Linked DNA regions of Arabidopsis thaliana. The protein of the gene in region 3 interacts with the protein of the main gene of each other region in a pairwise test. Each region holds a gene or a part of one and is shown on either strand. Other genes may lie near its edges.

Region 1 (4,580 bases), on a different chromosome or scaffold from region 3:
CACATTTTTTCGATATTTTCCTGCTAAGGTGAAGAGTTTGGTTTCATTGAGACCCCCATTCGTTACTTGTAAGCAAAGATTGCAAGGATAATCCCAAGAGCTTGATGTTCATCACTTGTGTGAGAAGAAATTGCTTTCAGTACTTTCACTTTCACCAAGTACTGACAAAATGGGGTCAGTTGCTGGTGTGATCAAATATGCATGTGTTTCTCACTTTCTCTGGTGAAATAGACGACGACAACCACCACCATAATTTGGGCCGGTAAATTCGGCCCATTAATTGCACACTGTTAAGAGTTATTACCCAGTAAGATTGTAGCATTCTAAAAAATCAAGATTCTCGCTCGCTTACTACAATTCCTGGGTCCCTTTAGGATTTGTCTAGGTAGGAAGAAATATCAAACCGTCTAAATTTCAATAACCTGACGGTTCAACTTTTGTTTATGAAAAAAACTATTAGAGTATTTAGATGATTAGAGATATCATTTTTATGTAAAAGAAAAAAGAAGGGTATGAAAAAGATCTCGAAAAATTTGAAAATAGAAAAACTTATGCTTTTCTCATGAGGCACTTAACCTGGTCGCATATACAAAGATCATGTCAACGTAAAATGAAGATGGCTTCATGATTATGTCAAGAATGTATAATGGTTATTGGTTAAGAAGAGCTGGGTTTATCAAAAAAAAATAAAAGAAAAACTGTTCTTTTTTATCCTGTTTTTTTTTTTATTATTATAAATTTGTTTGTTATCAAGAAGACAAGAATAACTAATTTAATTAGATTAAAGTAAATTTAAAAGTAGAAAAAGGCTTTTAAGGATACATTAGCTGAGAGTCAATAATCTAAAAAGTACAATGACCCACACACAACCCATAGAAGCAGCATTAAAGTTAAGACCTAGGACGCATCACATCAAAGGTTGACCCATGGGCCATTTGGAGCCATGGACTCAATGAGACAGATCGCTGGTTGTGGTTAGATGAGGATGGTCCGGCCACACGTTCACACGATGGACACATCAAAAGTGTGGTCGGTGGACTCATCTGACCATACAACCGCGGTGAAAGCTTTAATGCTCTTAGTTCCGCTGCCTCTTTCTCGAGCCGCCGATTCTCTTCCGTTAATTTCTCAACACATCTTTTCAAATACTCGCAATCCACTTCGGTCTGCTTTAACTTTGTCCTATTAGGCACAAAAATGGGTTGTATTGTAAATAACATTGCTCTTTAGGGGCAAAATGGTCAACTAATATGTAAAAATAATGAGCACTCTAGTTCTCTCACCTTGCTCTTCTGTTTTGGAACCACACTTCCACTTGTCTTGCTGTTAAACCTAGCTTCTTAGCCAAAGCCAGCTTCTGTTTCTGTAGTTTTACAATAAAGCCCTTGTTAAAAACAGAGTATTTACAATAATACTTTCACGCTCCGAGAGATGGATGAATGACTAACGGGATTGAGAGTATTGTGCTCTTTGAAAGTGTCTTCGAGAACTGCGGATTGATCTTTGGATAGTCTAAGCTTCTTCCTACAAGTCTCACCTCCGTAATCTTCCTCTTCATCGGAGGTTCCACGTGAGGAAGATCTATCTAGAGTGATGTCAAGGTCATCTCCGCAACCACCACCGGAGGTACCTTCTCTTTCAGTACTCCTCCTCTTTCCACTCACTGTGCTCGAGATCGTACTGTTTGGAGACGAAACTCCTGTCTCCTCTTCCAAATCCACCGTTGTTGGCAAGCTGTTCACGTCGATTTTCCTAAGAAACTGTTGCTTTTGTTGATCTGAAAAATGAAAAAGGGTTATTTCAGGATCTGTGTTGTTTCCTTGTGGAAAAAGGTTATCAAGACTTTGTTGAAGAAGAAGCTTACCTGAGGAAGAAACAAGGGTTTGGTTCCATGGAAACATCTGGAGATTGGACATTGGTGAAGAAGTGGGTTTAAGATTTAGCTGGAGAGGATGGTTTTGTGCAAATCCCAAGCTAAGACTTAAACCCAAATCCTCTTTACCCATCATCATGATATTGTCTCTTGGTAGAAAATGAGAATAGCAAAAGCTTTGATCTTTATGAGTAGAGATGACTAGAAAAACCTTGATCTAAAGCTGATTTTACCTCAAAAGATTTATCAGTTGTGCTAAGTGTATGGAGGACAAGAGAAACCTTCTTCTAGGGTTCTTATAGAGAGAGAGAGATGTGAAATGGGAAATGAAAAGAGAAAGAGAGGATTAATATAGGAAGTGAATGATATGAGATGTTGTCAGGTTGGCCAATTATAATCTATTAATGCCCTTTTGAAACTCAATTATTATATCCCCAACTTGTTCCCTCTTTGTCTTCTCCTTTCTCTTTTTTTTTTTTCTTTATCTTTTCCTTCTTCTTCTTTTACTATTTTAGTAAATTGTATAGTAAGTCCTATCTTTTGCTATCTTTTTCCATAACCTCAAAGTACTTCTATATATGTATGGAATCCAAAGTAAATTTAAAATGCAAATTCATATTTTCCATCTCTACTTTATTTCTTGCAAATTTGGACTAGGAAAAGAGAAACTCTATAATATGCGGTGCAAATCCATTATGACATTTATTTAGCGACAATAAGTACATCAAATTATATGCCTAATCAACTAAATAATGATTCTAAGTTTTAATTATATACCTTCACATATATATGAAGTGACTCATGTTATGTCTTGCATATATTAGATATAAGCAGCCTTAGCTTCTGATTTAATAGTATCCGAGGAATTTTATTATTGCGCCAATTTGATATCATTTCGAGATATATAGACATTAGTTCTTTATTAAAAAAAAAATTAATAGAATTATTATTAAGAGTTGTAACTTGCTAATCTTTTTGACCATGTCAAAAAAAAAAAATAAAGATGTTATTGGATGAGCTTACTAGAGTGAATTTTATTTAGTATTTACGGTAAGTTGAATAATTGCCAATCTAATAGTTATGCTACAAAATATTTACTCTACTGTAAAGAAATAAACGTGAACATCTTTAGTTTTTTACTCCACCTAAAAGTGGTAGTAAATATTTCAGTTCATTTTCTCTTTTCATTTTTATTTAACCCTCAAATTTTTCCAATCATTGGTGCAAGAACTTGTGACCTTTGTAAAGAAAAAAAAAACAACTCAATCAGTCAAGATCACACACGGATGAGAACAGATATCGAAGAAATAGTTGGCAATTAATTGTTGAAATAATGAAGAAAAAAAAAGGACTAAATCAAGTGGTTGGTACAAAACACAATCCACATGAATCTGAGCTCATTCAAAGTTGTGGGCCAGTCACCTGTTGTGATCCAATCATATCCATGTGGGATGTGGGATCTATCATTACACTAACACCCATATGTATTACATATGAATCCAATATTCACTGACTGTTTCTCTATTTTCATTTCATGTTCTTAAACTTTCAACTATTATAGATCATCATACTTCCCTTATCATCAATTTTGTAGAATTTTTAAGTATTCAGATCGTGTTCTATAATCAGATATATTCTGAGTGCTGCTAATCAGAATCATTTTGCTTTATTGTTGACAAAAAAAAAAAAGAAGAAGTAAATTAAAACTGCCGAAAGATGATTAAAAAATGTCTCAAATAGTTTTGGGCTCAAGAGAGAACATGGGCAGGTGGGTCATGTCACGTGACAACAAGGGACCCGAAAACACTCGACCCGGCCGTGCGTTTTATTTTGTTTCCTCACGCGCCGACATCTTATCATTGCCTACCACGCGCCTTCATCATTTTCGCTTCGTTGTAATCATTATACGCATGATTTCAAATGAAATAACTCCTTCTCATTAATGATCTAACTGTACTCGAAATTAAAAATAGTTAAACATAGTACATTCGAATTATATGCCGTATATAATGAACTAATAATTCATCTTTCTAGTAAGTATTTTTTTTTTCAAACTAGTAGTGTATTATGCGTTCTAAACGAAAACATGAAATATCTATTTAGAAGCTCTATTTGAAAATGTTAATGGATTTGAATACTCACGACAAAACGAACCAAAAAATTGTTATTGAATATATATATTTCTACTTCGTTTTTTGATTAGAAGAAATTCGAGACCCAAAAGCTCGTAGATCCCCCTTAGGTTGAGACGAGAAATTCAAGACCCCTATTAGCTTATATATATTTAGTCTATACTTGTATATAATAGCAGTGATTAAGGGTTCGGTATAGTCCCGGTTTATTCATCTAATTAAGGTGAATCTCTGGTTTATTATTGGTTTAGTTGGTTTGTTGTCTATACAACATTGTAACAAACTTTCAAGATTATTAATGAGAAATTGAGCTTTCACCATGTTTTCTCTCTCGAGCATGGTTCCTATTATGGTATCAGAGCAATTTCTGCTCTTACTTCTCTGATTTCTCATCGATTTCTCATTGCTTTCTTCGTTTTTCTTCGTTTTCCACCGTTAAAGTGTTGAATCGATCCCGGATTTGTGTTGTTTTGAGCTCAAGCTGACCAGAATCACCTTCTGAAGCTTCGATTCAAGTTCCGATAACACATTTGAGCTTCGATCTCTCTATCCATGGTGAAACAGAAGAAGAAAAC
Region 2 (6,854 bases), on a different chromosome or scaffold from region 3:
TTTGAAGTTGAAACCTACTTGATATGCTTCTTCTTATTTTGTTAACTAACTCAAGTTGAATGATTATTTATTGATTGAATTACGTAAGACGGGAAGAACATGATGTGCCCAACCGAACCACGAATGGTTAAGGATAGGTCGGTTTGTGGCATATCAATAAACAGTTTATGAGACTGAATGGAAACCTTCTTTCTTCGATCGACTAAAACCCTTAGCCTTCCAAGTTTCTAGTCAAGAAGTATTGTTACTAAATTGCCCTTGATGTTAATGTTTTCGAAAATCTATTTATGTTTCTACAGTGTTTCTCTCACGTGAGTTGCAGAGTCAGTTCACGTGGTCCCACTACATCATGAAAACGACGTCACACTAACCTCTTATTCGCCTTTCACTTGAATTGACCATTTCGTTTTTATTTACTTTCCTTGATTTCTTTCTTTCTTCTCATCTAAACGTGTAAAAATCTTAACAATTCCATTTGCTTTTTTGTTTTTGATTTTAATGTATCTAACCAATTACTTGTGCTCTAGAGAAACCGAATCTCGAATAACAATAATACATTTCATCAAAGAACCACGAGATTGCGAGTGATTTTAAATCAATATAATACAATTCATGGGGTTAATATAAAATACAGAGAATAAAGCGTGTTTAAGCACAACCTAACAACTCACGAGACAAAGTGGAAGGCATGTGGGGATGTGTAATTGTTTTTGCTCTTTCCCTATTTTGTACAATTTTTCACTTCATGTGATCCAACACTATTTAGCTATAGTTCCTTTCTCACTATCATCTCCATCTCTGTTTTCAATTTATTATTTCTATCTTCAGATTAAACTCATGACTACTGGAAAGATGTAGTACTCAGAAACTAACTAGATTGTAAGCATTAGGGGAGGGCAATAAATATTACTCGTAAGTAAATTTAATTCTTAACTACTGAAAATCTTAAGTAATTTAATCAAGTATATACGTACTTGCAAAAACTTGAAAGCCATAACTATTTTCGCTTGAATACAAATGGACTAAAGATATTTTATCATTTTATTTTTGGTTTTAAGAGATGACTTTTTTCGAATATATAATTCAAATTATATACAGTACTAGACATATGTTAGTTTAGTAAATGCTAACAAGACTTTTAAAATAAGTACTGTAATTTGTAAGTCGTCTATTTGGTTTACTTATAAGTTAGTGATTTTGTAACAAGTGGCATTCAACTAAATATAAAAATGCGCTTAGCTCACATGATCAGGTTCTTAACTATGGGTTTTAGACAATTTGTTAAAGGCGGAAGAGCTGTCTTTGTTCCACCTAATGTCACATACATTACATATATCTCCACTCACACAAATACATAGACGCATACACGTACGAACAAAATCATACTTGTCCCCCTATATTCCATCATCTATAGCAGAATTTCTACTACTAAATTTACTATTAAATTGGTAATTGTTTGCAGCCAAGCCTAGCTATCAATTAGTAGTACGTATCTTTGTCAAACTTACCAATTACCTTCCAATTTACCAATTAAACAAGTCGTCTAGTTATGCGCATTCAGTACACACGAACATAGACCACGTAATACAGTGGTCTGATTACATTATTTACATGGAGGTTTTTATAAGCATGATTTTCTAAACGGAGACACAAAATCTTCTTTATTTTATTTTTCCTTTTCGCACTGTTCATTTAGGTTTGGTGGTATTAGGCTATAGAAGAATGTACGATGACTTGAATATCAGATACATGAGATTCTTAATTAATCATACATATCTTACCATTTTAATTAGTTAACTGATTTCCTTTTGATTGCATTTACTTCGACGCATGATAGTAGTCGGCGTAATTTCAACAGTACCTTGACACGCCAAAAGCTTCACGTAATTTGCTGTCGAAGAAGGTACGCTTCTTAGCTCAAATCTAATCCATTCGTGTTCTTTAGAGATTTGACTTGGATTCTAGTTTTTGTATCTCCATGTTCATTGGTTGACTTGAATTATGCGAAATTGAGTTGGTTTGAGCTATGAATTCCGCTGAATTATGGTTATTCTCTTGAATTTCTACCCAATTCTGATGACAGATCTATCGATTCCACGAATTTGGTGACTTCTGCCGATTCTCCCGTTTGAATTCTGTGGAATTCGCTGAGAAAAGTTGCGGCGGAGGCTGATTTAGGTTAAATCGAGCAGAATTTGACCAAATTCGAGGATTTTTATCGGTAAAAAGATACAGAGAAAGCATAATTCAGCAACTTCAGAGCTCAATTCCGCTTCTTCAACCATCGAAAACCACAATATCTCTTGAATCAGCTGCTACAAGTCGCAGATCTGAGCTGCTAGCCAATTTTTGCGATAATTCCCGCGCACAGATTAGTAATAGAATAATTTAAAAAGAATTCAAAAACCGTCGAAGCTCTGTCGTTCATGGAGCTTCCTCAACCTCGTCCCTTCAAAACCCAAGGTAAACACCATTATCAGATATTATTGTTACCAATTCCTTTATTTTATTTTAAAACAGAGTGTTTAGTTTCTACAAGATTCATAATTTTAAATTTATGTATTTTTTTGAATTTTGATATATATATTAAGAAGAATTTCGCACAGGGAGAAAACCAACACATGATTTTTTATCGCTCTGCAGTCATTCAACCGTCCACCCAGATCCAAAGCCAACACCACCACCTTCTTCTCAAGGTATTTTTTTTTACCATTTTACCCTTTTTTCTTCTTTAAGATTCTCTTAAAAGGGGTCACGTTTTTTTCGCGCGTGCATCTGATCTGACTTTAAGACGAATCATGGATCAAAATGTTGCTATTTTGTTGGGTCCTAATGGGCCCATCTGTGTTTAAAGCCCATGGAATTTTGGGACCGTTTTTTTCTTTCTTTTTCGTCTACACATGTCGTTAAACCTTGCCTTCGATTAAATAAATATCTTTCAACCCTCATGATGTTGATCCCTAGAATTGCATCACATAAATAACAAAATGTTGTTAATTACTATAAGCGTTTAAATGCATACAACTTGATGTATAAGAAAATGTGTATTATCTAGGGATTTACTTCTCTAACATATAGTTTATGTTTTTAATTTTGATGGTACGTGAAGCAGGTAGTCACTTGAAAACCCATGATTTTCTTCAACCGTTAGAATGTGTTGGTGCTAAAGAAGACGTAAGTAGGATTAACTCTACCACTACAGCGTCCGAGAAGCCACCGCCCCCTGCTCCACCTCCACCGTTGCAGCACGTGCTTCCCGGTGGTATAGGGACTTATACGATTAGCCCCATTCCTTACTTCCATCATCATCATCAGAGAATTCCTAAGCCGGAGTTGTCACCACCAATGATGTTCAATGCTAATGAGAGAAACGTTTTGGATGAGAATTCTAACTCTAATTGCAGCTCGTACGCCGCTGCATCAAGCGGGTTCACTCTGTGGGATGAATCTGCTTCTGGGAAGAAGGGACAGACAAGGAAGGAGAATAGTGTTGGGGAGAGAGTAAACATGAGAGGTAACAAGAAAACTTGAATCGTGATGTTTATTTAGACTAGTTTTAAAGTAGTATTTAGAAATCAATGGAATGATGAAATATAAGTTTTTTTGAATGTGTAGCTGATGTTGCAGCAACTGTGGGACAATGGCCAGTGGCGGAGAGACGGTCCCAGTCTTTGACAAACAACCATATGAGCGGTTTCAGTTCTCTCTCTTCCTCTCAGTTAGTCTCATATCTTCTCTTTTTTATATAACTCGGTCTATGGACTTTAAAGAGTGATCAACTAAAGTTTTACTTTGGTTGCAGAGGGTCTGTGCTTAAGAGCCAGAGCTTCATGGACATGATAAGGTCAGCAAAAGGAAGTTCACAGGAAGATGATTTAGATGATGAAGAAGATTTTATCATGAAGAAAGAAAGCTCCTCGACTAGCCAGAGCCATAGAGGTTTGTATTGTCCGAGATTCCACCTATATGATATCTAAAGTCTAAACAGTAACAGCTTAGGATCTGATTGATTGCTTCTTTACAGTGGATTTGAGGGTAAAAGCAGATGTGAGAGGCTCTCCTAACGATCAAAAGCTGAACACACCTAGGTCTAAACATTCTGCTACAGAGCAACGGAGAAGGAGCAAGATCAATGATAGGTAAGTCCTGAATATGTAGCAAAAGCCACCAGAATTGGTTATATAGCTTAGCAGAGTGGAGATACTAATCAAACATTGTTAATGGATCCCTCTGCAGATTTCAGATGTTGAGACAACTAATACCTAACAGCGACCAAAAGCGGGATAAGGCCTCCTTCTTACTAGAGGTATAACTATACTCTTTTGGCCGAAAATTTTGTGACAGTAAGATTCAATCACATCTGCTCCTAATCTCCAATTTTTTTTTTTGACAACTTCATACAGGTTATCGAGTATATTCAATTCTTACAAGAGAAAGCAGACAAGTATGTGACCTCTTACCAAGGATGGAATCACGAACCTGCGAAGCTATTGAATTGGGTAAATATAATCTCACATTTTCCGACCATACTTCATTTTTATTCCCCGGGTTGGAAACTGAAAACAAACAAACCATGTAATGTTAACCCGTGTGATCCATTTACATTATAGCAGAGTAACAACAACCAACAGCTAGTACCTGAAGGAGTTGCTTTTGCTCCAAAATTGGAAGAAGAGAAAAACAACATTCCGGTTTCGGTCCTTGCAACTGCACAAGGTGTTGTTATTGATCATCCAACAACCGCGACGACCTCTCCATTTCCATTGTCGATTCAAAGCAACAGTTTTTTCTCTCCTGTGATTGCGGGTAATCCCGTACCCCAGTTCCACGCAAGAGTCGCATCATCAGAGGCTGTAGAGCCAAGTCCGAGTTCCCGGAGTCAAAAAGAAGAAGAAGATGAGGAAGTTCTTGAGGGTAACATCAGAATTTCAAGTGTTTACTCACAAGGGTAAAACTAAAAAACTCTCTTTTGAATTTTGATCTTGCAACAGTTAAGTAAAAGTAAAAAATTATTAACCTTTTATACATTTACTTTTGTGTGTGGAGCAGATTAGTGAAAACACTGAGAGAAGCATTGGAGAATTCAGGAGTGGACTTAACGAAAGCAAGCATCTCCGTTGAAATCGAGCTCGCTAAACAATCCTCGTCTTCTTCCTTCAAGGTATCTTTTTCTTTACTTACGTTTGATTCAATTCAAACACATTTTCATGAGTTGGATCTTGATAGTTTATAGTTTTGTTCACATCTCGATAGGATCATGAAGTTCGTGAACCGGTTTCTCGAACCAGAAACGACAATGTCAAGCAAACTCGGAAACCAAAACGGCTCAAGACGGGACAGTAGAAGTTATAAAAACAAAACCCAAACACACAATCCGGTAAAAGTTAAACACCAAAATTGATTCCTCTGTTTTTTTCTTTAAATCATTTTATCTCAAAAAGGGATTATAATTTATTATTATAGTTATATCTTTGATTTTTTTCTTTTGTACATCCGAAATCCTGTTATATATATCTCGTGGGTCCATAATCGTATGAGACCTAAGAAGACTAGGGCGACCCGGTTATGCTAACCGCATTTTAGAACATACTCTTTTGAGGAATATATCGTTAAGGAAGGCTTTCAAAGTTTTCTGGAAGCGTCCAGTGTTAAGTGAAAACATTTTTCACTCTCTTATATACTTGATCATCTCACACTTTTTATATTTGTTTCTTCCTCTTACTTTGTTCTATGGTTTTCAATGTAATACTAGATATCTTTTATGTATTTGACTAAACCAAAGCGCATGAACGATTTTGAAAAAGAAAAAGAGAAACACACTTAATTATAATGCCAATCAAAAGCCTGTATGACCCAACTCTCTAGGACAAAGTCTGGAGCACGGCAAAAAGATTAAATCAAGTGTACTTTAGCAACAAGAGCTATCTTGTACTATTATTTATGCAATGTTGTTAGCAAAATAATCAAATGTTATGTGGGGTATTATAAGATATGCCATTGAAAAATATATCAACTAGCATTTAATTACTTTTATTTAAAATGATGAAAATCATATCTTCTATATATTCAACTTCAATACTTGATTTTCCAAACTATTGAAGTAAACGAGATCCCATATATAATGGGATAAAACAACAAACATCAATTACGTTCTTTTAACCATAATTTATATCCATAAACAACAAACCGCCTGTATTTCCTCGGACACGAAGAGGATTTGACACGGGAAGCTTCGTCTTCTCCCTCCTCGTCGTCGCCTCCAAAACTCAGGAGTTTCTTCTTCAGAGACGCGGTGGTAGCATCTTTTACCGTGGAGTTTCGTCGCCGTCGTTGTCTTTATCAATTATGATCTTTCTCGAACTAGAGCTTTTACAGTTAGGGTTTGAAACTTTGACTGGAATTAGAGCAAACTTTGGTCGTGATTGTAGTATTTTTTTAGTTTGGAATGTTGTTTATTATACTAGATATTAATCTGCAGTATACCGCGGACCTATATTTTTATTAAATAAAAAATAATTGAATAATTTTTAGGATGATTTAATAAATTTATGTTATTGTTTGATTTAAATGTATAATTCACCGCGAGACGAAATTTTATAACTCAAATTTTAAAGTTTTAAATTATATTTGTTTATTTTGTTAAATGTTTAATATTGTATAATTGTATATTGATTGTTGTTTCTCAGATTTCACCCGTAGTACACCATCCCATATTAATATCGAATCAAACCCGTCAATTCTAGGATTTCACCCGTGGTAGTATTTAATTGTATAATTATATTTTAATTGTCATCGTAGGATTTCACTCCTAATTCTATCGCAAATTATTATCAACCCAAACCAGTCAATTCTAA
Region 3 (7,769 bases):
ATCGTTTTCTAGTTAATTATTCATTCATTAGGTTAAGTAGTTAGTACTAGTGTAGTAGCTAGTTCTGGTTTTCAATAGTTTTTACGGTTTGATTATGGTTGGTGTGTATCATTCATCCGTAAATGGTAAAACCTCGATCGATTTACATAACTCATGTAGACAGCGGATTAAAATAGCTGTCCTTAGACTTAAAAAATTCTGTTATTGGTTATATAAAAATATTCCACCATTTTCTTTAAATTATGCTGAAAAATGATAAAAAGAGATTGTACATAAATAAAACTTCCATATTTTTGGTCGGTATAAAACTTCCATAAGAGTTTTGTAGGTTTCTGTCCAAAAGAAAAGCTATTTATCAACTTCCATTACTAACTAGACTACCCAAAAGAAAAGTTTATAGGTTCCTCCAGCCTAGAAGTCAAAGAACAGCATCATCATGACTAGTTTTCTTGTGATAGATACTATTTCAATTTAATAGATAAATACTAGTAATGATTATTGATCATTTAATGTCAAAGATTCATTCAAATCTAATCTTTTGGATGATTATTATTTATGCATACAACCTAAACTCCGCATACATTTTTCATGTTACATATGAGCTACCAAGTCCATTAAACGTTTTTTGCCAAAAACTATGATGATTAATTTAGTTTATTCGACATGCTTTTGAGGCCAATCTTTGTGTTTATATTTGTACATTAACACATGATAAAAACTTATAAGATTACTAATAATAATTCATCTTATATCTATCTATATATATATATATATATATATATATATATATATATATATATCAAATTTCGTAAAAGGAAGATGAAGAAAAACGAAACAAGTCCAAAACATAAATAAAAATAAATATCTTGCCATACATAATGTCATAATTGATTAAAGAGATTATCATCAGAATTTTTCCATATTACATATAGAGTTATGGACTCTCTAATTCAACAAACCTTAGCCAAAAACAACATCCCCTAACTTTTAATATCTAACATAACCAACCTTTTCCTTCATCAAACAAACGACCAACTAACGAGGGTAAAAGCCAAGCAGTGGTTTGATTCGTTGTCATCAACAACTTTCCACACCGTCGCTTGCTCATACGAAACCGGTCTGCCCATGCTCGACACACATATTCCTGCCGGAAGATTCGCATATCCCTGAAGAAGATTCAATCCAAACTTAGTATTTTCCAGGGAAAGACTTAAAAGACTAGCTAGAAAATGTTTAACCTGCTGCATGATCTTGGCGAACTCGGAGCAAAGAGCTCTACGACCAGAGTCATCAAGTGTTTTGTCGAGCATTATATCCTGAAGTGCCACAAGTGTAGTTTCAAGCATGTCTAAACCAGCTTGGTTTGCAAATGTGAATACCGGTGAGGCCTGAGAACCAAAAAATAATCAGACAATTCCCAAACCGAACCATAAACTAGATTGAGCACCTCTTAAAAAAACAGAATTCTTACATTAGTTTTCAGGGAGCAGCACAATATGGCATCACTATGGTCCCAGAGTTGCTTAAGCAATGTGTCTCCTCCACAGGACTGAGAATCAGCTCCAAACAGATCTGCACCTGTATGAATACTAAAACATCGGAGAAAAACATTTTATTGAGTTATTAAATGAGATAAGCACATTCTATATTGTTACAAGTCTTTAGATTAAGGTTCTAAGAAGAGTACCTGTAACTACGGGTGATCCAACGGACAAGAGTGAGAGCTTCAGGGGAAGTGGGAAGTTGCATTGAGCCAGGACGAGGCGTAATGGCTAGAGCCACTCTCTGAATCGAACCAACAACGTTCCTCACATACTGTCTCGCCATTGTAGCAACATTGTCTCTGGAATGGTTATCAAACGTGAACTGGAAGGCTATTGTTAAGACCAATCTAGAGTTTGTTTCCGAATCGGTTTTGGTGGAACCATCTAGGGACGATGCTAGATCCCGTGTTCGACTTGCAGATTGATGATCATTCTGTAACGTTACATACAGGAATAAAAGAAAAAGGACTGTGTCAATTTCAAGATATCAAATTTCTTATCATAAACAGTTTTCTTTTTACCGGATTTGTTTTTTGGTCGAGTGGTATGACACGGAAACCAGAAGGAAGCAAAGGTGCATCATCAGCAAATGATTCATCGATTGGGGCAAAGACAAGCTGAGCACAACCTCCAACCACATTTTCATCAACGCCGCTACAAAGCTGGACAAAAGCAAAAAAGAAACCAAGAATTCAATTTCAATAACTCATCTTTAAGAATCCCTGAGTGTCTTTAGTATAAAGCAAACCTGCAGTAAATACATATCCCGGGATAAGCCCATGTCTTCAGGTGAGTAAGCATGACCTCCAAGTCTAACCACTTCGAGAAACTGAGAAACAAGTAAGCAAAATAGGATTATAGGCATGGCAAAAGAATAGACAACAAGGAAAATGTTCTTGAGATTCTTTGTACCTCTTCATGTTCGAGTGTCTGTGCGAGAGGAAGAATGACTTGGTTACTCGGGAACCCACCGGTTCTGACGCATGGAACAGCATATGGAGTTGCTCTGAGAGATGCAGCAGAATAGGCATCGACACCATAGTCTGCCCATTCAGCTCGGTGTTCTCTCAGGAACCGAATCAATACAAGGGGTGGAACATTCTTCAAGAGCAGATAAAAAAGAGAATGATGTCAGAAATTGAAGAAACCGGTTCTTTTGTCTATTCACAAGTGTCAAAACATGATATAGGCACCTGCAACAGCATAGAAGCTTTGGCACAGAGGACACCACTTCCAAAACTTGGAAGAAATGAGCTACCGTATTGGGAGCCAGCAAATTTAGCAGAGGAAGAGTTAATCATGATCGTAATATCCTCTCCTCCATCACTACTCATTGGAGACCATCCATCATCGACAAAACCATTTACAGCATCATTGAAACCCCTGAATTTCAAGAAAAGCAATTAGAACAATGCTTTAGAAAATAAAACTAAGCTTATCAAGGAAATGTATTACCGGCAGAGTCTCTGGCTGAAAGTCCTTAAAACTGCAGGCTGGCGTCCACCACTATACTGGACTTCTCCACTAGTCTCTTGAGCAATTTGGCGCACATGTCTCAGAGCCTGAAATGTGGAAGTAAAACTCATAAAGAGAGCCTAATCAGGTCACGGGTGGATAAGGTTTATATGGAACTTACAGCGACAGTCATTTTTTGAGCAAGGATTTTGGAAGACTCATAAAGAGGCCTGAGGACTTCAGGAACACTTGAGACCTACCAAACCAAAAAAACGTATCAATCAACATAAATAGAAGGCTTTTACGAAACCTAATGTGCTATTACAAATCCAATATGCTTACATCCAAGTCCACATGATCAACGATGTGAATAATGGAACCACCACCATCACAAGGACGGATAAGAAACCCGCTTGACAGCATTTTGGCTCTCACGAAGCTTGAAGAAAGTGGACCATTGGGGCCACCAGTTGCAGAAGTGAGTGATCTCTCACAGACCTGAAGGCAAAAAAGCAAATATAAGGCAAATCTAATAAATAGAATCATAGATGAACAAAACCAGGTCCTAATACCCACCACATAGCTTCCATCTTCTAGACTTGTACTATATCTCAGCGTCCAAAAGTCACGAGCTGCTGCTAATGTTGTAGGAGCATAAATCTGATAACCAACCATGAATAATGATCATTACATTTTAAAGGAACAAAAACAACACTCATGGATTTATGAAACAGACCTGAGTGTTGACAAGCTCGATAGTACCACCATTTCCAGTGGGTATAACATTCAGAGTCTCGACACATCGACAGTCACGGAACCAAGATGGACGATCTTTGAGGATTTCAGCGACCTACACAGTATTTGAAGTTTAGATTGCCTTCGTAGAATTTCCGCTTCTTACAACACAAGATTAAAATAAAAAGAAAACACCATTACCTTCATGGGTTCTAAACTCACGAGGCCACAGGCACGTGCTGCTATTCCACTGCAGTTGCGTGAAACAGCTACGATACCAATAGAATCCGGACCAGGCTACATACATAACCATGAAAATACATATTAAAACATTTTCTAAAAACCACTTCATTTCCACATATGAAAACGTTAAAATACTTCAACTTATCTACCTTCATCCCAATCATCTGGACCCAGTCGACAGCAGTTCCTGTAGCCTTGCAAAGGAACTCCGCCAAGGTCTCCTCCGCAATCGAGAGAAGACTACCAAAAAAACACTCCATTTAGTCTCTTCTCATAATGTCACAATGAGAAATTCACAAACAAAAAAAGAGCCTTCCTTACTTAGCTGGGTTGTTAACATCACGCTGAGGATGCTGATGTGTTGGGTTTTGCTGCTGACGTTGCTGACCACTCACGACCACAGACTCACAGCTGTTGTCTGTGGTCGTCCCAGAAGCCTAAGACACAACACAGAGATTTCACCAGTCACTCTCTAACAACAGAGAACTCTTAAAGAACAAATACATATACAAGCATCAAAGATAACAACTCAACAATGCATTTAGCAAAAGGGATTCAAGGACTTACAGTGTGGATTCGATGTTTCATGAATCCATTCTCATAAACCAAGTTGGAGACTTGCTTCTGCAAACGATCATTCTCTTCCATCAAAAGCTTGTTCATAGCACTCAGCTTCCTGTTCACTGTCTGAAGACGAGCTGACTCTTTCCTCTGCTTCTCTCGACATCTAAAAAGTCAACAAAACAACCAAAAGAAACCAGAAAAGTTAAAGACAAACCTATAGCAGTATGATAAATGTGTTGAAATAATAGAAAAATGAACAGAAGAAACACACACTTTTTTGCTTTAGAATGATACCAGAATGACATAAAGAACAAAAGATAATGTAATTTCCAACATATTCTCTGCAGAAGGAAAAAAAGAGAGAGGCGTTTTAAAGCTCATCAAAGACAGTTTGATTAGCTGTCACTTTTCCTTGTGATTTTAACTTTCAACTGTGTCAACAAAAGCCTAATAAGCAAAAAGAGAAAAACAAATTTATAGACATAGATCTGAAAGTTTCAAAAGCTTAACAATCACCAATTAGACCAAAAACAAGAAGATTACCAAAAACATTGTCAGACAAGAACATTTTTGTCTCCAAATACAAACAAAAGAAATTCAATTTTATAATTACAGAAACAATCAAAGAACACAAAAAACATTCCATTAAAGACAATTAATAAAGAAATAATAACCTGCGATTCTGGAACCAAACTTTGATCTGTCGAGGCTCGATGTTACAGAGAATGGGACATTCACGAATAAGCTGTTGTCTTCTCAGAGAGCTAGGTTTAGGACACTCAGCATAAACTCTCTCAAGAGCTTCAACTTGTTCCGGCGTGTATCTAACGTACTTGCCGGAATCAAATCCTTTATCAGGAGAGTCTCTATCGTCCATGGAGTGATGAGCCATCATATCTTCCAAACAGGTCAGTAGAAATCAGAGAGAGAGAGAGGGTTTACAAAAAGAAGAATAAAGATCGATACTTTGAGAGAAGTAAAAGAGACTCAGATGAAGAAATATTAGATGGGTAGGCTCTCTGAGAAGAGAGAGCCTCCTGTGAGAGTGTTCATGAGATGGTAATGGTTGGAGAAAAGAGTTTTTTGGGTTTTTTTCATTTGCTCTCTCTCTCAAAGGAGATTGAAAGATGGAAAGAGGTAAAAGGAGCAAAAGCGAGGCAGCTAAGTAGAGAGAAGAGAGAGAAGAGAGAGAAGAGAGAGGAAAATACTGAAAAAGTAAAAGTAAAGATCTTTCTGAGAGAGAAAGGACAAGGAACAACCCAACAAGATGCACTAAACTGGTAAATATTGTTTTCAAAAAAAATTAAAGGTGAAATTTTTGGGAGAGTAGGTTGAATTCAATGTTTTTGGTTAAAAGCTTTTTACTGTTAAGGCAAAGTAAAAATATTTAAACTTTTTCTTATACAAAGCTAAGCTTGAATTTTAATTCAAAGCTTAAATTCTAAAAGTTAAAATGATTAACTAGGATAAAAGTTTATGTCTTTGATAACTCATTATCAAAGCGGTAGAGTTTGTACAACTTTGACAGTTATCATTTATAAAATCTTTATCAAAAACGTTATAAAAAGTTTTATTCTCAATTTTATTATACAACTTTCTCGTACAACTCTTTTTTATAGTTTGCAACTATTCCGAAAAATTTTACAATTCATCTAAATTACCAGTTGGACCCATATATATTCTTTGGTTGCCACCATATAAATATTATTAGTTAAATAGATAATTATAATATTGATTGAATTAGATTAACAATTCATTTTAAAAGTTTCGTAATATTTGATGCATAGTTATAAGTAAATAATTACTTGTTTTATTATTTTTTCTTACAACTCTTTTAAATAGGTTTAATATGAGATGGAATCTTGATTACACTTCTCTAATTCATATCATTACCACCTAATTTTCTTTGTGTAAACATGTTTCTGTATTCAATATTCTTGGATTAGATTAAAAGGACAAGTAGATGTTGACAATTAAAAAGGATTGAAAGTGATTAGTTTTGAAAAACTTAAATGCATTCAGATTTCAGACTAAGGCTAAACACAAACAGATGAGAAAACCAACACGCAAAGTTGTTGTCTCTGCAAATTTTAAGACATATCAATTATTATCAGAATCCCTAGTCCTAATGGCAATCGATAAGAATAAATATGTTTATCTATTGGTAACAAAAATAAATCATGCTACAACTATTTATATTCGTAAAACGTAAGTGTTGTTGTCAGAAGAAACGGAATTTTGACAAAATGGGGTAATTTGCTAACTTAGGGAAAGAAAGCACTTCTCTTTAAGCTCTGTGACAGTGGCCTACCCAAACATAGCATCAAATTTTCCCTACCCTCTTTGCTCTCTAGTCCTAAGACGTTGTATGTATGTATGTATGTGCATGTACATATTTTCATGATGATGGTGTTGTTGTATGCCTATCTTTTGTATCCATGTGGAAGAGACGATGCATGACAAGTATGTACAATGTCACTATGCGCGTGAGATGCGTGAAATCTGTTGTTTTTTTTGGTTAACCTTAATTGGTTTTATTTCCTTTAACTTGTTTTGAAAGTTTTGAATATAAATTAGGGAATTTAATGAAAAAAACCCTTAACTTTGGCCAGATCCATTTTAAACCCTAAACTATGTTTTTAGTAAAACAAACCCTGAACTAAAACCTGTTAATAAACTTAACTCCACAGTAATTAATTATTAATGGGATATTAATTTCTAAAAAAAAAAACAACGAGACATTTGTATTTAGCGCAAAAACCACATGATGTTCTTTAAAACTATTTTGAATTTATTACAAAAAAACGTTCTAAATGATTTTGAATTGCTTAATTAGTTTGGATTTTAGAAGCTGAAAGAAAGACACAACAACTTAAAATAATCCAAAGAGTCATACTTAAATAAATCCAACCAACATAACTATCGAAGCTGTTGCAACACAACAATATTTGTCACAAAAAAAACAATCGTTTCAGAGGGACAAGATATTCTAAAGTAAAGACTTGTCAAGCATTAACTTTGAAGAGAAGATTGTATTGGCTGAGTGATAGGGTTCTCTTCATCCATTGTTTTCTGTTTTTTCCTTGGTCGTCTTTGAGGTTTCTTGGGTGGTTTTGGCACTGCTTTACGCTTGCATGAACGTTTGTTGTGTCCGACTTGTTGATAGTTGCTACAAGTCTAAATATGCAAAGATTAAATTAAATAATTTGAAAAGGAAGATCTTGTGAA
Region 4 (4,846 bases), on a different chromosome or scaffold from region 3:
ATATTTATGTTCTTATGAATACATTTCATAATTAATATGCCCGTACAAATATACGTAGTTATAAGAAAATGAATGATTGTGGACATAAAATTATTTGAAACTTATTGGTGTTTTTCTGACACATGACAAGCAACGACCCCTTCGATTTCTTTCATTTGCATTGTGAACAAACATGACTTTTCTATATACATTATTACATTGGCGGTAAAAATTTGTACTTTTGTAGTTAATTATAGATATATATATCAAAATTAATTTGTAGATACGATTATATCCAATTCAAGTCCTGACTATGTAATCATTGCATAATGATGATTAAGATAGATCATATCATATTTTGATTAAAAAAATTACATAATGTTTTTTCTTAGCAACATTGTGATGCCTATATATATATATATAATGGTGATTGGTGAAATGCTTTGAATCTGGTCATACGATGGTAGAATAGCATATGGGTTTCGATGGACCTATTTGGTTTAAAGTTGAATTAGGGTTATGTTAATACTCTTTTTTTCTTTTTCTTTTTCTGAATCTGTTTTTCCTCCATCCTATTTTGAAAAGTATTATTGTTCTTTGCGTTTTTATTCACTTTCTCACATTCGTGATAACAATAAAAAATTCCATATATGTAAAACCTAAATCCTAACATATGAAATATGATTAACTAATCTAGATTATGGATTAGGATGAAAGTGCTAGCTAGTTATGAGATACCTATATTGTACAATTCATTTATTCGAGTGTATATATTCATAAATGAATAGAGAAAGACATTCAAGTAGAATTCATATAATTTCTTAAGGAAGCAAAAACTACCTTCAAAACTAAAACATATATAGAAATAACAACCATCCTCGCATTATGAATGTCTTTGTTCGAATCTAAATCCGAGACTATTAAAAAGTGTATACATACACGAAGAAGATACATAAACCAATCCAACAATACGCATATATATCAAAATATAGAAGAATACGTATACATATAACATTTTCAATGTATAGTGTAGATATATAAAATCATTCAAGAATCTGATTCATTATCGCTACTATGATGATCCGTATCATGATTCGAGCTCATCAAATGATGAAATGGTCTAATCAAACTCGTATTACCCGGCATCATGTGTTGCTGCGATGCGGTATTTGAATTCGAGCTAAAGAGCTGAAGATGACCGGCTCCATCGACGACATGATGATGATGAGAAGCTCCAAGAAACGAAGGGTATGTCGGGAATAGAGAGCTCATTGCCGGAGGAGTAGGACCGAAAAAAAGCTGAGATCCATCTCCGGCAGACGAGGAAGGAGGATGCAAATTGAGATTATTGTTATTATTAGCAGCAACATTAGATATTGCGACAGTAACGTTATTACCAGATTGGTCTAACGATTGTTGAAGATGTCCAAGGTTGTAATAAGCTGAAGTGTTGTTGTACGGATTGGTCAGAGGAAATTGTTGTTGATGATTGGTGTTAAACCCTTGATGATCTTGATTACTATTCTCGTCGTTTTTGATCCATTTTCCTTTATCAAGATCAAAACTTTCTCTTTGGGTCGTAGTTGTATCGGTTAATCTTGCTCTTGTTCTTGAAGAACCACCAAGATCCCAATTTTCCAAGAACCCGAGATTGGTTCCTGGAAACGTTGTTGATGTAGTTGAAGATGGAGATTCTCCAAACCCGGAGTTTCCGAAGATGAGATTTGGATACATCTGGTTAAATCCATGTGGGAATTGTAGAGGAGGTAGCTTGTCTACGTCATCTTTTGCTGCTTCGAGTAACCAATCAATGACTTTGCTTGGCTGACTCAGCCCTAATCGATCTTGAAGGTCGTAGAGTTGAATAGCTGTAGGTACGGACAACCTTATCCTCCGGTCTCGAAGACCACGGACTGTACATACTTTGCTGTGTCTGTCTTTGCCACCGAATGTTCTTGAGACTCGAACGATTCTTGGATTCCTAAAAGCTGAAGTCCATTGCCTTGAAGATGATACCGAACTCGGCTGTTGTTGTTGCAACATGTGGTTTAAGTTTACTTGATGATTTTGATTTTGATCTCTTTCTTGCTTTGCTTGAATCTCCTCTTCATCACATTCTCCTGATCTCATCTCTTTAATTCACTCAACAAGATCTTCAGTACTCAATTTGGTGTAAAGAACAGATCTGAAACAAGAAGGGAATAAATTGACCAATTTAATAGAAAATAAATCAAGAAGACAAGAATTAGTTGTTGTTAGCTTTCAATTGAATGAAATTGTTGATTTTAAATATGTTTTTGGAGCGAGATTCACATGAAAACAAAGCAATAATATCTCTTTCTTGAGTTTGCATCAAAGAAAAGAAAGCTCATAAGAATTTGAAATTCAAACATGTTGAAGGTTATATGTTCTTACGTTGATTGAATACTGGTAAGCTTGAGTCCTATTTCAAGATCCAGCTTGATAGAGAAGTAGAAGAAGGAGGAAGAAGAAGAATAAGAAAGAGATAAGGAGGCAGAGGAATGTGTAGTATTTCTTTTTTTGGAAACTAGAATTACATATGTATATTATAATGATTGGGGAAGTTAAATAATAAATGAATTAGATATATTTTTAAGTATTATATTCCGATCCCTAGGGCTTTTTTTTTTCGGTATGAAAGGAATTTATGCAGAAGGACAAAAGAGGAGCAATTTATGTAGTGTATTGATACTGTGATGGGAATGTGCATGTTTCGTTACACTCACAGTCACATAAATCTTATATATATAAAACTTTACAATAGTTGACAAAAAAAAAACCTTTACAATAAATTTTAATATATTTTAGTATTCAAGTTTTGGTTCCCTTTCCTTGGTGTTAGACATTCATTTTGAATTTTATATGATTTAATTTTTACCCAAGTTTGTGATCTATGTTGTCTTCTTATCTTAAACAAAAATATAAACATACGGTTAAGGTCATTTAAGAGAAAGTGTACGGTTGACAAATTAATAGTTATAAATGGTAACAAGAGCTTTTAAAGTGAAAAAAAAATATAGTACATGTATAGTAAATTAATAATGGTAAAAGTGGTTTGAACTTTGAACTGTGAAACATATATATATACAAGATCGAGTTTGAAAGTTTTATGAAACCAAATTTTAGTAAATTCAAAAAAATTCATAATATAAACAAATGGAAAGACCAATTTATTTACAGTCGTCGCTCATTTCATTTGAGTTTCTGTCGTTTTGGAAAATGAAAAGTTTTATTTGTAGATAAATTGTTGAATTTCATTATTAACGAAGCAACTTGTTGAAACCCTAAATTTAGTGATAATGAAATGTAGACTTGTTAAAATCAAACTGTTGGGAATACTGCTTTTATTTCTAATTAACTACTTGTGGGTTATATTTTTAAGCATATATAGAAAATATCCATATATATAAATTTTTTGTTTTAATATCAACATATATAAGTAAATATAATAGAGATTGACAGCTAGAGGAGGTAAGGGTCTGTCTCTGAGATAGAGAATGGACCAACGAGTATAGGTTTTTCTTTAAAGCATCTAATGCCTAAATACTCACAAAGAGATTTGTGGTCCACTTCTCTTCTAAGTGTCTTTGCCACTGAGATTTTTGCCCACAATCACAAACCATTTTCTTTCCTCTTTGTATCCAACTTGATCACTACTATATATAAAGTCTTCTGTAATTGACCGCGCCTTTAACCCACACTGGTTGTTTACGAAGAATATTGAGTTACTGCATATATAGTACTGTACGGTTTCAAATTAAGAACTCTGGTTTTGATTATGTAATCTTGAGATGAAATTGACTGTAACAAAGTTACATTTGTAATTTTGCAAGAAAAAGTTTTGTATCAGTTTTTTGGTCCTCACTTAAATATGGGGAAAATATTAAATAAATATGAACCACTTATATATCGTATAATTTTAATGATCATATAAATTGTGGTAACTGTTCATCTCAAATCAAAGGTTCCATGGATTTCTTTTTCCACATCGGTTCCGTAGATTATCCAACACAATTTTAAGGCATTTTAAGATGATCACAACACAATGTCACAGATTATTTTAAGAAGGCGATTGGAAGCCTTCATTAAAGGCATTTCCAAGGATCTTTCCGGATATGGTGGTATATTTTAAACACAAATTATTCTTAGAGCGAGATAGACTTGTACATTTCATTTTTTTGGTACTGTGATAGACATGTACTAACTTTTATATAGATGGTGTCAGTGGTATATTGGTCTAACTAATATATGCTGCAACAATATTAATTATGATGTATGTTCATAAAACTTGTGGTGAAATTTATCACAACAATTTTTTTGTCCCAACAAAGAAGCTTGCCAAACCTACCCGTCGTCTAAAGCAGCCCACTACCAAAGCCGCCTTTAGTCATTGCTTGGTTGGTAACGTCTGTCAAAGCCAAAACCTTAATTTCTTTCAAAATTGATTTAACGTAAATTCAAGCTTAAGGAATAAGCTAGAAACTATTAACAAGATCATATTTTAGGGAATTTTGGGAATGTATGACAGGATTTGGCAACGAATTATGTGAATACAATTAAATTGTTCCTGCCTTTTATATATATACACATAATTTAACTTAATCATCATGTTGACAAAAAAACAACCGAATCATATATAGGGATGGATGATGATGACGACGACGACGACGTGACTTGAGCTTCTTGGCTTAATTTCCTCCGACTTTTGGATCATATATATATAGGATCTTGTGATCATTAGTTGTACAGAAAATACCAAATACGTTAAAATTGTATGTTTGTATACATGTAACATGTATGTATATGTTCGACACTTCTGACTTTAGGCTGAATTTATTTCAAAACT

Evidence for each region.
Region 1: the proteins of PHV (region 3) and HAT1 interact in binary tests that used the Arabidopsis thaliana proteins (3 or more experiments, as listed by UniProt).
Region 2: the proteins of PHV (region 3) and BIM1 interact in binary tests that used the Arabidopsis thaliana proteins (3 or more experiments, as listed by UniProt).
Region 4: the proteins of PHV (region 3) and TCP5 interact in binary tests that used the Arabidopsis thaliana proteins (3 or more experiments, as listed by UniProt).

What each region holds. Positions count from the first base shown.
Region 1 is NC_003075.7:9,737,294-9,741,873, reverse strand, and holds HAT1 (Homeobox-leucine zipper protein 4 (HB-4) / HD-ZIP protein), read right to left. Parts: upstream 2,357-4,580; 5' UTR 2,013-2,356; coding exon 1,865-2,012; intron 1,778-1,864; coding exon 1,449-1,777; intron 1,364-1,448; coding exon 1,284-1,363; intron 1,183-1,283; coding exon 891-1,182; 3' UTR 640-890; downstream 1-639. UniProt on the Arabidopsis thaliana protein: Probable transcription factor.
Region 2 is NC_003076.8:2,605,144-2,611,997, reverse strand, and holds BIM1 (basic helix-loop-helix (bHLH) DNA-binding superfamily protein), read left to right. Parts: upstream 1-1,747; 5' UTR 1,748-1,903; exon of another isoform or gene 1,904-2,083; 5' UTR 2,084-2,426; coding exon 2,427-2,463; intron 2,464-2,594; coding exon 2,595-2,696; intron 2,697-3,112; coding exon 3,113-3,514; intron 3,515-3,615; coding exon 3,616-3,718; intron 3,719-3,802; coding exon 3,803-3,939; intron 3,940-4,024; coding exon 4,025-4,139; intron 4,140-4,236; coding exon 4,237-4,306; intron 4,307-4,403; coding exon 4,404-4,499; intron 4,500-4,610; coding exon 4,611-4,948; intron 4,949-5,049; coding exon 5,050-5,161; intron 5,162-5,253; coding exon 5,254-5,343; 3' UTR 5,344-5,980; downstream 5,981-6,854. UniProt on the Arabidopsis thaliana protein: Positive brassinosteroid-signaling protein. Transcription factor that bind specifically to the DNA sequence 5'-CANNTG-3'(E box). Can bind individually to the promoter as a homodimer or synergistically as a heterodimer with BZR2/BES1.
Region 3 is NC_003070.9:10,795,309-10,803,077, forward strand, and holds PHV (Homeobox-leucine zipper family protein / lipid-binding START domain-containing protein), read right to left. Parts: upstream 5,786-7,769; 5' UTR 5,437-5,785; coding exon 5,216-5,436; intron 4,705-5,215; coding exon 4,545-4,704; intron 4,415-4,544; coding exon 4,299-4,414; intron 4,218-4,298; coding exon 4,127-4,217; intron 4,032-4,126; coding exon 3,936-4,031; intron 3,850-3,935; coding exon 3,736-3,849; intron 3,660-3,735; coding exon 3,576-3,659; intron 3,498-3,575; coding exon 3,342-3,497; intron 3,256-3,341; coding exon 3,181-3,255; intron 3,107-3,180; coding exon 3,000-3,106; intron 2,928-2,999; coding exon 2,738-2,927; intron 2,646-2,737; coding exon 2,457-2,645; intron 2,374-2,456; coding exon 2,293-2,373; intron 2,207-2,292; coding exon 2,066-2,206; intron 1,978-2,065; coding exon 1,688-1,977; intron 1,590-1,687; coding exon 1,472-1,589; intron 1,389-1,471; coding exon 1,239-1,388; intron 1,167-1,238; coding exon 1,020-1,166; 3' UTR 816-1,019; downstream 1-815. UniProt on the Arabidopsis thaliana protein: Probable transcription factor involved in the determination of adaxial-abaxial polarity in ovule primordium. Specifies adaxial leaf fates. Binds to the DNA sequence 5'-GTAAT[GC]ATTAC-3'.
Region 4 is NC_003076.8:24,534,544-24,539,389, forward strand, and holds TCP5 (TEOSINTE BRANCHED 1, cycloidea and PCF transcription factor 5), read right to left. Parts: upstream 2,702-4,846; 5' UTR 2,395-2,701; intron 2,165-2,394; 5' UTR 2,110-2,164; coding exon 1,027-2,109; 3' UTR 794-1,026; downstream 1-793.